Linked DNA regions of Drosophila melanogaster. The protein of the gene in region 3 interacts with the protein of the main gene of each other region in a pairwise test. Each region holds a gene or a part of one and is shown on either strand. Other genes may lie near its edges. The genes, in order: Fis1, Cdk5 and Vlet.

Evidence for each region.
Region 1: the proteins of Vlet (region 3) and Fis1 interact in a two-hybrid assay, tested with the Drosophila melanogaster proteins (one large-scale study listed by BioGRID).
Region 2: the proteins of Vlet (region 3) and Cdk5 interact in a two-hybrid assay, tested with the Drosophila melanogaster proteins (one large-scale study listed by BioGRID).

What each region holds. Positions count from the first base shown.
Region 1 is NT_033778.4:5,602,995-5,606,563, forward strand, and holds Fis1 (Fission, mitochondrial 1), read right to left. Parts: upstream 1,841-3,569; 5' UTR 1,761-1,840; coding exon 1,716-1,760; exon of another isoform or gene 1,657-1,715; coding exon 1,589-1,656; exon of another isoform or gene 1,523-1,588; coding exon 1,474-1,522; intron 1,418-1,473; coding exon 1,250-1,417; intron 1,019-1,249; coding exon 906-1,018; coding exon of another isoform or gene 902-905; exon of another isoform or gene 801-901; intron 768-800; coding exon 746-767; 3' UTR 593-745; downstream 1-592. UniProt on the Drosophila melanogaster protein: Involved in the fragmentation of the mitochondrial network and its perinuclear clustering. Functions downstream of Pink1 and upstream of Drp1 to regulate mitochondrial fission.
Region 2 is NT_033778.4:15,569,759-15,573,515, reverse strand, and holds the start of Cdk5 (Cyclin-dependent kinase 5), read left to right. Parts: upstream 1-2,098; 5' UTR 2,099-2,213; coding exon 2,214-2,381; intron 2,382-2,445; coding exon 2,446-2,633; intron 2,634-2,793; coding exon 2,794-3,158; intron 3,159-3,220; coding exon 3,221-3,384; 3' UTR 3,385-3,757. Other genes in the region: CG8204 (uncharacterized protein), read left to right, coding at 1-66, 125-327; CG30466 (uncharacterized protein), read right to left, coding at 590-703, 759-1,838. UniProt on the Drosophila melanogaster protein: Probably involved in the control of the cell cycle. Interacts with D1 and D3-type G1 cyclins. Possible regulator of neuronal differentiation and/or development.
Region 3 is NC_004354.4:11,676,835-11,680,591, forward strand, and holds Vlet (valette), read right to left. Parts: upstream 1,718-3,757; 5' UTR 1,601-1,717; coding exon 1,569-1,600; exon of another isoform or gene 1,516-1,568; coding exon 831-1,515; 3' UTR 510-830; downstream 1-509. UniProt on the Drosophila melanogaster protein: Scaffold protein in the commander complex that is essential for endosomal recycling of transmembrane cargos; the commander complex is composed of the CCC subcomplex and the retriever subcomplex.

The DNA.
Region 1 (3,569 bases), on a different chromosome or scaffold from region 3:
TAAATTCACATAGATATGAATGAGCACCCAAATGCTGTAACCTCAAAAGAACACCACGACACTCGCTGACGAGATAGAGCCGGATTGAAATGCGTGCTTTCTTGATATCCCCTATCAACGTCCAAAGTATTACCACTATTGAAATATAGCTAGTCTCCGAATTAAATTCAGTATAAAACTGCGCTCCACCCATAACCTTTATTCAAGGCTATCTGCTGTTCCTTGTGTTACGATTTTGATAAAGCCGTACGTACTCACAAAAATATGCGACATGAAGAAATAGTTATTTTAGATGGGAACACTTAGCTAATCCTACCTATCCTGAGTCTAAAAAAAAATATCCGAAATACAATTTCACTAGAAAGGAGTAGAGAGTAGTTTGGATTACTGGAGGTCAGTCTTCTGGACCCAGGGAGATCATATTATTTTGCACCCAGCCGGGGCGATGATTCGGTAGACTACGCCTTCGAAGTTCTTCTTTGTATGGACTAAAAACAACAGAAGTCCGATGATTTAAGCATTGTTGGAGTTTAATTCAGCGGAGTCGGCATAGCACTATACCTTAACATATGTAATTAACACACACGATCTACAAGCAACAATTGGATAATTTATTGATTTAACCGTACATAAAGATTAATTAGAATGTTGATGTAGTAAATTAACATATTTCAAGTATTAAACTTCATAACATCTTGATGTGCACCTTTCGATGTTTTATTTTCCTTAAATAGTGGTGACGTTACTATTTCTCCCGTTTTTGTTTACTAAAAAATAAACAATGTACACATAGCATTAATAATTAAGTCAATGTAGATTTAATTTAAATCATAAATATTTAATTTTCAACTGCTTGTTTTTAAAAGAACATTGTCGGTTAAAAACGTGTTGGTATAAAATATTACTTTCTAGCCATAGCAATGCCAAGTCCTAATATTCCGCCAAGTACTAAAGCTGCTCCGCCTGCAACCACCATACCCTTTGCCACTTCCTTATCGATTTCTTTTTTAATATATTCCTGAAATATGTAAAGTTATTTAGTAATTATTCGTACATTGAATTTTAGTGTATGTACATTAGTGAGGATCACATGAATATGTTTTTCATTATTATATATGTACATTTAACACGACACATCTTTTGTGATCATGGGATTTTGGTTGTCATAAAAATTTTCTGGATCAAAAAATTATTTGAATCTATTGGAGATTATATAGAAATTGCTGCTTTCCTTAGTGACCTTACTAACCTCTAGGGAGCGAACTTGATCATTTGACTCGATGTCAAGAAAAGCTCGGCAGTATTTTAAGCCAGACGTATACTCCTTGATACGAGCATTACCAAACGCAAGATAATATATATAGTCACGCCTTCCATCTGGATGCGTACGAGCCAGTTCCTCCAAAATCATAATTCCCTGGATTATAAATAAAATAATATTTTTACATCTTTACAGCTTTAAAAGTGAGTCACCTTTCTAACGTCATTTGTGTACCGACTTCGGACCAGACAGAATGCGTACCTATTGTGTCATTAGAATTGAGAAGAATTGAGATATTTTAATGTTTTTAGATTTAGGAATGCGTACTCAAACTTTGTGTCTGTGGTAACTTCACCATCCAACTCAAGTTCGTGATGATACTTTTTTTCGAATCTCTGGAGCAAATGCAAAATATTTATTTTATAACAATCAGAACTAAAATAATATTTTTTACTTCTAAATCTTCTTGTGGTACAACTTCGTTTAAAAGATCCTCCATTGTTTGGCAAATGTTGTTAGCAAATACAAAAATTATATACAGAGAATTTAACGCCAAGAGTAGCCGTTCATTCTAAAAATATAGGATTAGTCGTACCGTTTATATACAATTCTCAGAGAACGACTTCCTTCACATTTTTAGTGTTCCTTCTTATATTCGATTGCCACTGAGACTATTTAATAAGGGGTACTCCGTTAATAGCATGTGTTCTTAATTAAGCCAAATAAAATTCAGCTTTGGAGTTTCAAAAATTTTAGCGAATTCACGGAAGTATTTGATTTTAACTACTTTAGTTTGATTTTATAAAATTTTTGATGTTATAATTATTAATTGTGATCAGAGAAAAATGCATTTACAAAAAAATGTTAACTTCTTTGGCTCCTCAATACCGACTCGGTTATTGATCCTCAATAAAGTGTTAGGAAAAGTTTTGTGTTACCTGTTTTATTCATTTAACGGGTATAACAACGAATTGTTGATTTCTTTTTAATTCATTTCAATTGAACCTGATCCAGACTTTTCAACGAATCTACTTTAACATTTTACTCTTCGAGTAATGTGTGTAATTTAGTATTCAAATTCCTGTATTTTGTGAATAGATAAGGTGTAAGTCCGTTTTTTATGTATCTCGGTTCCATCAATTCAGAGTTTCTTAAAAAAGTTTGTTTATAAAAATAGTTGTTATGAAATAATATTTATCATGTTCTCGATGTGCGCTTTATAAAATATGAAGATAAATGCAATGAAGACACTGCTGGTCGGAATCTCTTATTAATATACCCCTAAAAGAGTTTAGAATGAAAAGCTTTTTTGAAAATAAATACCCATCATTAACTTTAATGGCCACTGAATTTCGTATTTCCTACCTACCTTCAAAAGATCGCTCGATTTTAGAGCTGGCCTCCTATAATTTGACAGCAATTTTGCTAACGCATCAGTATAATTACGATGAGGATCCGGTTCATTCTTTATTTGTTGAACGATGGGGCTCGCGTACGTGACGGCATTTCTTCGCGGGACGGTGCGGGGAGGCAAGAGATGGGTTGTGCTAGTCCCACGAAGTTGAACAGGCAATGATATTGCAGAATTACTGTTCGAAAATCAATGAATATGCTAGCGGTTCAATATATAGCTGACGCATGCAAAGAGCAAAATACAATCGAGTGATACACAAAAACCCAAGCTGGCCACCAGCTTGGTCCTCACCAAGGGCCAGTATAAAGTATCTTAATTTACACCCAAGAAAGTGTCGCGCAATTGCTTCTCGGCAGTTTTTGTTGACATGTCCCATGACGTGAACACAATTTTTATTTCTATTGCTTTTGACTTTTATGCACATGCCCACTCATAATCCTAGAGACATTTGTCATTGATGGTCCGGTCCGGCGAATCTATTGTTGTTGATTGTTGAGCCCGGCTCTATTCACACTTTCTTTCGAACCGAGTCGGCCAGACTAGACCGTCGTATTATTGTGATTTACTTGAGCCGCTTTATCGCCGTAATCACAACAAAGTTGTGCGACAAATACAGATATGGGGACCAACAATAAGAGCGAGAGTTGCGGATGGCAGGCAGCTGCTTGGCTCCTAACCAACTTGAAAGTGACTAATCGGAGCTTAATGTCATTCCGGGACCCTGACCGGAAGACGACGGTTCGCCGTCGATTCGTTAAGGGCAACTAATTGTTGCGACGTGTTTACACACACGCTGTGTCAGCACGGGGTTGTTTTTGCAGCGGGTGCTACCAAGAGACTGCTACCAGGCGGTTGCCCCGTTCGCCATAAATGATCCTGTAATTTTCGTTGGGC
Region 2 (3,757 bases), on a different chromosome or scaffold from region 3:
AACCTACGCTTCATGTGCCCTTCCCCACCGACGACACAGTTGCCGCGGAGAAGCTCCAGCAACTAGGTAGGTGTTTAAATTCGCAATTATACACATTTCTCATAGTATGATGGTTTCCGTACAGAAAACTGCCAGGAACTGCGTAATTTGCTCCACAATCCACACCTGCGTTCGCTGCTCCAGCAGATTGATGTGGCCATCAATGCCCAGTCGGCCATGATGGCCGCCATGCAGGAGCCACTCTTCGTGGAGTTCGCTAATGCCTGCCTTCAAGTCGTCGAACCGATGACGGATGCTGAGCGCACTGAATTTGAGTTGTACTCCTGAATTAAGTTGACACACAGTCTCAATAAAACTAAGCCTTTATTTTGTAACTAATAGTACTGTCAATCCTTGGCAGCTTCTAGAGGAGCTTGCATTGAAGAACTCCTGGAAACTTCTCATTGAAATCCGCCGGTAAGGTTGAATCTTTTCCATAACCAGGGAAAACGTACAACTAATTATTTGGCTCGGCCATTTAAAGTTATCTATCTCAGCTGGCATATCAAACTAGTCATCAGTCTACAGCTTCGTTCCTTGGCAATCAAACTCAATCAAAGTAAATTGAAACTGGATCCGAGTTAAAAGTGATTTTTGGATGCTTCATGTGCAACTTGAAAAGCCTATGTTCCCCTTGCACTTTCCAGGTCATGGGGATGGGATCCTGTAATGAAAAATATTAGAAACGAAAGCTAATATAAGTTGTGAAATACTTAGACCTCATTAGACATGAGATACGTGTTTAGTTCCACATAAATATTAAGTGCTGTGGTACGGTTTTCTCCCAGTTTCTTCGCATCGAATGTGAACTCCTTAAATCCGAAGGTGCAATGGTATATACCCAGGACCTCGTGTGTGTTTAGGTTTTGTATTAAGGTATGAAACTTAATTTCGTCCACACAAACCGAATTTTGTATATAAAATTCATTGACATTAATGTGAAGATGCTGATACGCATGCATACCAAAATTAGCCACCTTTAGGGTCTTAATAGCCACATTTAAACCGTAAGTTTCACAAAATATGGATGTATTTTGGCTTATCTCGATCATATTTATAGTGCTTCTCTTCGCAGCTATGAGAATCTCTCTCAGAAATCCGTATCTAACGTGACCACAAAGAAATAGCTTCTTCAAGTGAGTTAGACGTTCCAGTTTCGATAGGAACCACACCATCATTTCCTCCTGGAAGCACTGCAGCTGCTCTAGGTTTCTAATCCCTTTCCAGGGCAGTTCTGTGTTCGAAATCTGGTCAATATCGAAGATACCCAGCTTCAGGGATTTTATTTTTCTGGTTTTCAGGATCTGTATCAAGTTGGTGACATTGAATTTGCTGCAGTAGGAGACCGTGAGGTTCTCGAGAAACTCGAATTCATCAAAGTGTTTGCCAGTAAACTTTCCATGGGGGCTAAAAGTTGTCAGATTTGGAAAAGTTTTCAACATTCTTGGCACGTCCGCATCGTTTAAGTTAAACGAATGCGTGGAAAATCGAAAATCTTTAAGTTTTGGAAAACTACAGCTGGTAAGTGTTTCGAAGTTAGATCTATTATTCATTTTGAGCCGCAGAGTGCTGAGGATTTGTTGAGTACTTTCCAGGAAGAATAGCAAATCCTTGTCGCTCAGCTGCATTTCAATCAAGGATATATATGCACATTTGTTATAAGCACGCCACACATACGGCATTAATTTCTTAAACCGGAAATGAAAGTCTTTCAGTTTTAGTTGGGTCTTCAAGTCGAGATAACTTAGAATTATCATTAGAACATCATCGGGCAGACATAGTAAGCCAGGCTTGGTATTCTGCAAAGGGCAAAAGAAATTAGGAAACTTGTATACTTATATTTCTGCTATATTGTTGCATTGCGGTACCATAAGATCGGTGTTTATCATTGTCGGTCTATATTCGTATGTTTAGCTAATATCGAGTCCAAATAAAACAATAAAATTATAACAAAAGTTTTATCAACATTTTTAAAATGATATCTGTTAATTTTGAGTATTTTTGGTGACAGCAGACTGTCAGCTGCGATGTTGGTTAGTCACCGCGTGCTGTAAGCGAATAACAGTGTGCTGTTAGGCGCACGAATCCCTGGCCAGCAAAAACAAACTGCAAAAACAATAATCCCCGGAGTTTTCCATCTGAACGCAAAATAATACACACCAAAACACAGCAAAATGCAGAAGTACGATAAAATGGAGAAGATCGGGGAGGGCACCTACGGCACGGTGTTCAAGGGTCGCAACCGCGACACCATGGAAATAGTGGCCCTGAAACGGGTGCGACTGGACGAGGACGACGAGGGTGTGCCCAGTTCTGCCCTCCGGGAGATCTGCCTGCTGAAGGTCAGTCGGACGAGCAGGAAGTGATTCCAGTTTATAAACTAAATCGGCACATTACCATCCGTAGGAGCTGAAGCACAAGAACATTGTGCGCCTCATAGACGTCCTGCACTCGGACAAGAAACTCACCCTGGTCTTCGAGCACTGCGACCAGGACCTCAAGAAGTACTTTGACAGCCTCAACGGGGAGATCGACATGGCCGTCTGCAGGAGCTTTATGCTCCAACTGCTCCGCGGACTGGCATTCTGCCACAGGTATACCTATATATGTATCAGCACTGGATTAGGTCTTATCTTGTGTCGATTATAGTTAGAATCAAGTGTTATTTGGAGTAACTTCATCTGTGGCACATTTCCGAATGATATCCATTTTATAGCATTGAGACTTAACTTACGCTACATTATCCTATTTTAGCCATAATGTCCTGCATCGCGATCTGAAACCACAGAACCTGCTGATCAACAAAAACGGCGAGCTAAAGCTAGCTGACTTTGGTCTCGCTAGAGCCTTTGGCATTCCCGTGAAGTGCTACTCCGCAGAAGTGGTGACCCTGTGGTACCGACCACCCGATGTCCTATTTGGAGCCAAGCTCTATACGACCAGCATAGACATGTGGTCCGCTGGATGCATTTTGGCCGAACTGGCGGACGCTGGACGACCGCTGTTTCCTGGCTCTGACGTGCTCGATCAGCTGATGAAGATCTTCCGTGTGCTGGGCACCCCCAACGAGGACTCCTGGCCAGGAGTTTCGCACCTCTCCGACTACGTGGCGCTTCCATGTAGGGATTCTAGACGGATTTTATTTATCGATACCAATATTAAAAGCCTATTTATATTATAGCTTTTCCGGCCATCACCTCGTGGAGTCAGCTGGTACCTAGGCTAAACTCCAAGGGACGCGACCTGCTGCAAAAGCTGCTCATCTGCCGGCCAAATCAGCGAATTAGCGCGGAGGCGGCGATGCAGCATCCCTACTTTACGGACAGCAGCTCTTCGGGACATTGAGGTCGGAAGGTTCTTTCCAAGCCACTGTTTTCACGACCTTTGATTAGACTTAAGCCAAAATGCGAGACTTTGTCCAGCAAAGATCTTTTAATTATATATGTATGTCCTTGCAGTAGAGTTCGATTATAGTATAAGATAAAAAGTTCTTTATAATTTCATTAGTTTGATTTACCAAAGCAAAAGGTTTGATTTATGACAATCCCTACCAATGTGACACTTAATATAGCCATTTGAGCTGCCAAATTAACATTTATCGATAAAATACTTATTGATTCAGTAAAATAGTTTTATTCTTAAAAATTTTTATGTTGAGTGTATCGTTAAGATCCGAAAATTGTTCAAATTCCTAGACGATATCTACTGTTTGTGTGAA
Region 3 (3,757 bases):
GATAACAACACCTACACACACGACAACTAAATGTAACAATAGCAATACATTTTAATGAAAATTGTAGTCCAAATAATTTGCATACATTTGTATTTTGTCCAAACTTAGTTGAAATGATTAACCGAACTGTGAAAGAGTGCAATAGAAATCGTTTTGCTTCTAGATTAGTGAAAAATACAACGAAGCCCCTAATTTGAATACGAAGCAACCCAAAATCCCCGCCCTCCCGTAATAACAATAAATACATATGCATAATTATGCAAAAGTTTGAGAAGATGAAACTAGAAAGTCTGTATAATGCATACATAATATACGACTCCATTATACACACACACACGCATACTAAGGCCGATGAATAACATATGCATATACAATATAGACATATATTAAATATATATCATTGTAATAATTTGTAATGTTTATCAGTAGAATTATGATCCGAGGTGGAGCAGACGAGTAAAACGCATGCAGAGATCCATTAAAGTGTACTGTAAAATGTGCCACACATTGTTTTATCTAAATTTATTAAAGGATTTATTATTTTGCAGAGGGTAAGTTCTAAAACTTAAAAACTAGTCCTGTTTGGAAGATCCTAATCATTGCAACGTTTTATAAATCAAAGCCGAACTCTTACTCTAGTAAAAATTTGGCTACGTTCGGAAAATTAGCCAGAACATAGGAAAAACCCTACTGAATTAAACAAAAAAAAACGTGTTTAACATTTGGCTACGATCGTGTTAGTATTGCATACTTTTAGGTCCATCTTTTTGCACAGAGTTTTGTGTGAATCAACAATAAAATTGGCACTGGAATTGGTCGATGGCGTCCCACTACTGATTGCCAGGCGCCGTTGCTCCTGTAGTCTTCATGGCCAGCATGGCGTCCAGTTCGCCCTGGATGCTCTCGAACTGATTGTACAGTTCCATTAGTTCCGGTTGTGTCATTTCGATGTTGATATCCTCGCCGACGGCCGTTTTCATTTGGAGCACGGCCAGCGGGGTCTTCTCCCGCTGCTGGCAATGCGAGGAGATCTCCATGTTGAGCTTCCAGGCCACATCTTCGATGACATTTGATTCGTACCGCTTGCTGGCCAAATTGTTCATAATGGGCGTCGTTTCGCGCACCCACAAACGCAATATGGCATCGATCTTGGCCTCATCCTCCAGCTGGAGTTTCTCGCGCAGCTCACGCTGCAGCAAACTTGGCTTGATGATAAACGTGGAGATGCGACGCAGGATGTAGGAGAAGGTCTTGATCAGCAGCAGGAAGTCCTGACGCGGTACGCCCACCAATCGCTCCAGTTCCTCGAGTGTGTACTCCGGTTCGGTGTTACTTGTGGGGTTCTCCTCGGTGCTGCTGTCCACCCGGCCGGTGGTCGTCACACTGGTGCCCACTGTACTACTGGTGGCACTCGCCGATGCTACGCTGGGACTCATCTGCCGGTGGGTGTAGAACAGAACCGTCGTAAAGGTCTCGTAGGGCAAGGCATTGATGATTTTGATGCCCTCACGGGCTCTAAGATATAAATGCAAGAAATTAATCTCTATAAGAACATTGATATTACATACCTTTCCGTGATCTTTATCCAGTTAATGCTCATTGTGAGATATATTTAAAAATTTTTAAGGAACATAGAGTTATTAAGTCTTTACCAGCACTTCTTTTATTATGACTTTAATATTATTTGTTTATACAGACCAACAATATACAAAAAACTATCGACTTGCCACGGTGCGGTGCTGCCACACAGTTACTACTGCCAATAATAACGGTAAGTGCTGACTAAAATACAAAAATATTACATTTTGCGATGTGATTTTAAACATATTCTTTATTAATTTTTTAGATTTAAATGTTTTATTAAATTAATTTATTTTTCTGTATTTAGGCCTGAATAATTTACCTTATAAAATTACAATGTTTTAAATAATATTTGCTGTTATGTTTCCTGCAAAATAAAATTCGTGAAAAAAAGCCGCACCAGCAAATATCAATACCAGATTGTCGACGGCACCGACGATCGACGATTCAATTTGTAGAAGATTATCAAGTACGAATAGTTTTCCAACTCATTAATATAATCGTCCTACCTGGCAACTCCGCTGATGCCTATCGATGCTCCGCTCGATAGCGCCAACAATCGATAAGCAGTATTTGTGTATTGGAAACGCGGCTTAACTTAATGCAGATTTTTCCGCTGATTCGGCTGCGAAAGATGCACTTTTAAGGCGCAGCGAGTGCACCCACGCCCCGAGTTCGAGTGCAGTTGCAGTCGGGAAAGCTTGACAAGTGCGCGGAGCAAGGAGAGCGACGAGTTCGTTGAGCTACAGCGAAACGGAAAAGTGTAAAAGCGGGGTAAACAGGCGCAGCGGAGCGGATGATAAACGGAACTCGGGATCGGAAAATTGGAAGCAAAACCAACCACCGATTATAAAAAATAGTCAGCATCTTAAAAGTAAGGATTTCAAGCTAAGGTTTCAGCGAAAGCCCGAGAAAAACAAAAACCCCAACTAAACTAACGGAACAGTGCGTCGGGATATATGCATGTGTATGTGGTATACGTATGTGTGTCTTTGGCTGCGTGCGATTGTATTGTTCCTGTGTAAATAAACAAAACCCGGCTCTTTAGTCTTCCACTAGTTCGTTTCGCGTTTCTCTGCGAGGAATTTTTGTTGAAAAAACTCAATTTGGCATAGCATAACTTCCAGTTTATTTCCCTATTCTGCAAACTGTGTGTATCAGTGTGCTGGTGCTTCCAGCATGCCGTAAAAATCGATAGCGCGTCGTCGGTTGTTTATTTTATGCTTCGTCTGCATTTTGCAGCCCCTTTTTATCGCTCTCCCCTTTTCAGCCACCCTTGCACACACTCACACTCTCTCCGGCGGAGTCGTGTGATGCATACACACACACACACACAGACACATGCATACGCCTGATACGGGAAATTAAAAATAATACTTTTTATCGCGGCATGCAAAAGGCAAAGCTGCAAAAACAGAAACAATTCCAATTCCAACAGCAATAATCTAGCCATGCAATCAATTTTAGCCAAACAATAAAAAGAATCGTTTGGTTTCAGTTTCCCCGCTTTTCTTTTCCGTTATTTTCCTCTCTATATTCGGTTTTATCGCATTTTCCGCTCATTATGGCAGTTTAGCATATTTATGCTGGAAAAATATTGGGGTTTCTTCGCTTCTTACCTTTGTTTTACGTTTTGTTTTGCTGTCGGGCTGTAAAAACAGCAGTTAATCCAATTAAGAAAAATAAAACTCTAAATGCCATCGCCACCACGAATTCGAAATCACCTTTTATCTACTCAAAAGATATTCATCTTATTTATTTTCCAAGATAAATGTTAAATTATAAATATATTATAGAACCATACACTTGTTGAAATAGAATTTCTGCTAACAGCTGCGAGTTTTACAGTCATAACTATTATTATTATTTATTAACTTAGATTTCTACAGGCTGCGATTTTATAAAAATGATTCAATTTTTTATCTAGACTTTGTTATTAAAATTTCTACATAAGCAGAAAATAATTGCTGCAATGACAAATATTTCATTTTCAGCTTGTGTTTATCGTAGCTTATTTTTTGTTAAATGTATATTAAAGTATTTACTCCCCTTCTCATGTAATATACATATATTGAAAAAACAGTACTTTTGTCTATTAGAATATATTTATACCCTCACTTATTGGTTCATCTCGAAAACTGGTCGAGTAAACTGAGAATCTTGAGATAGTTTCTTG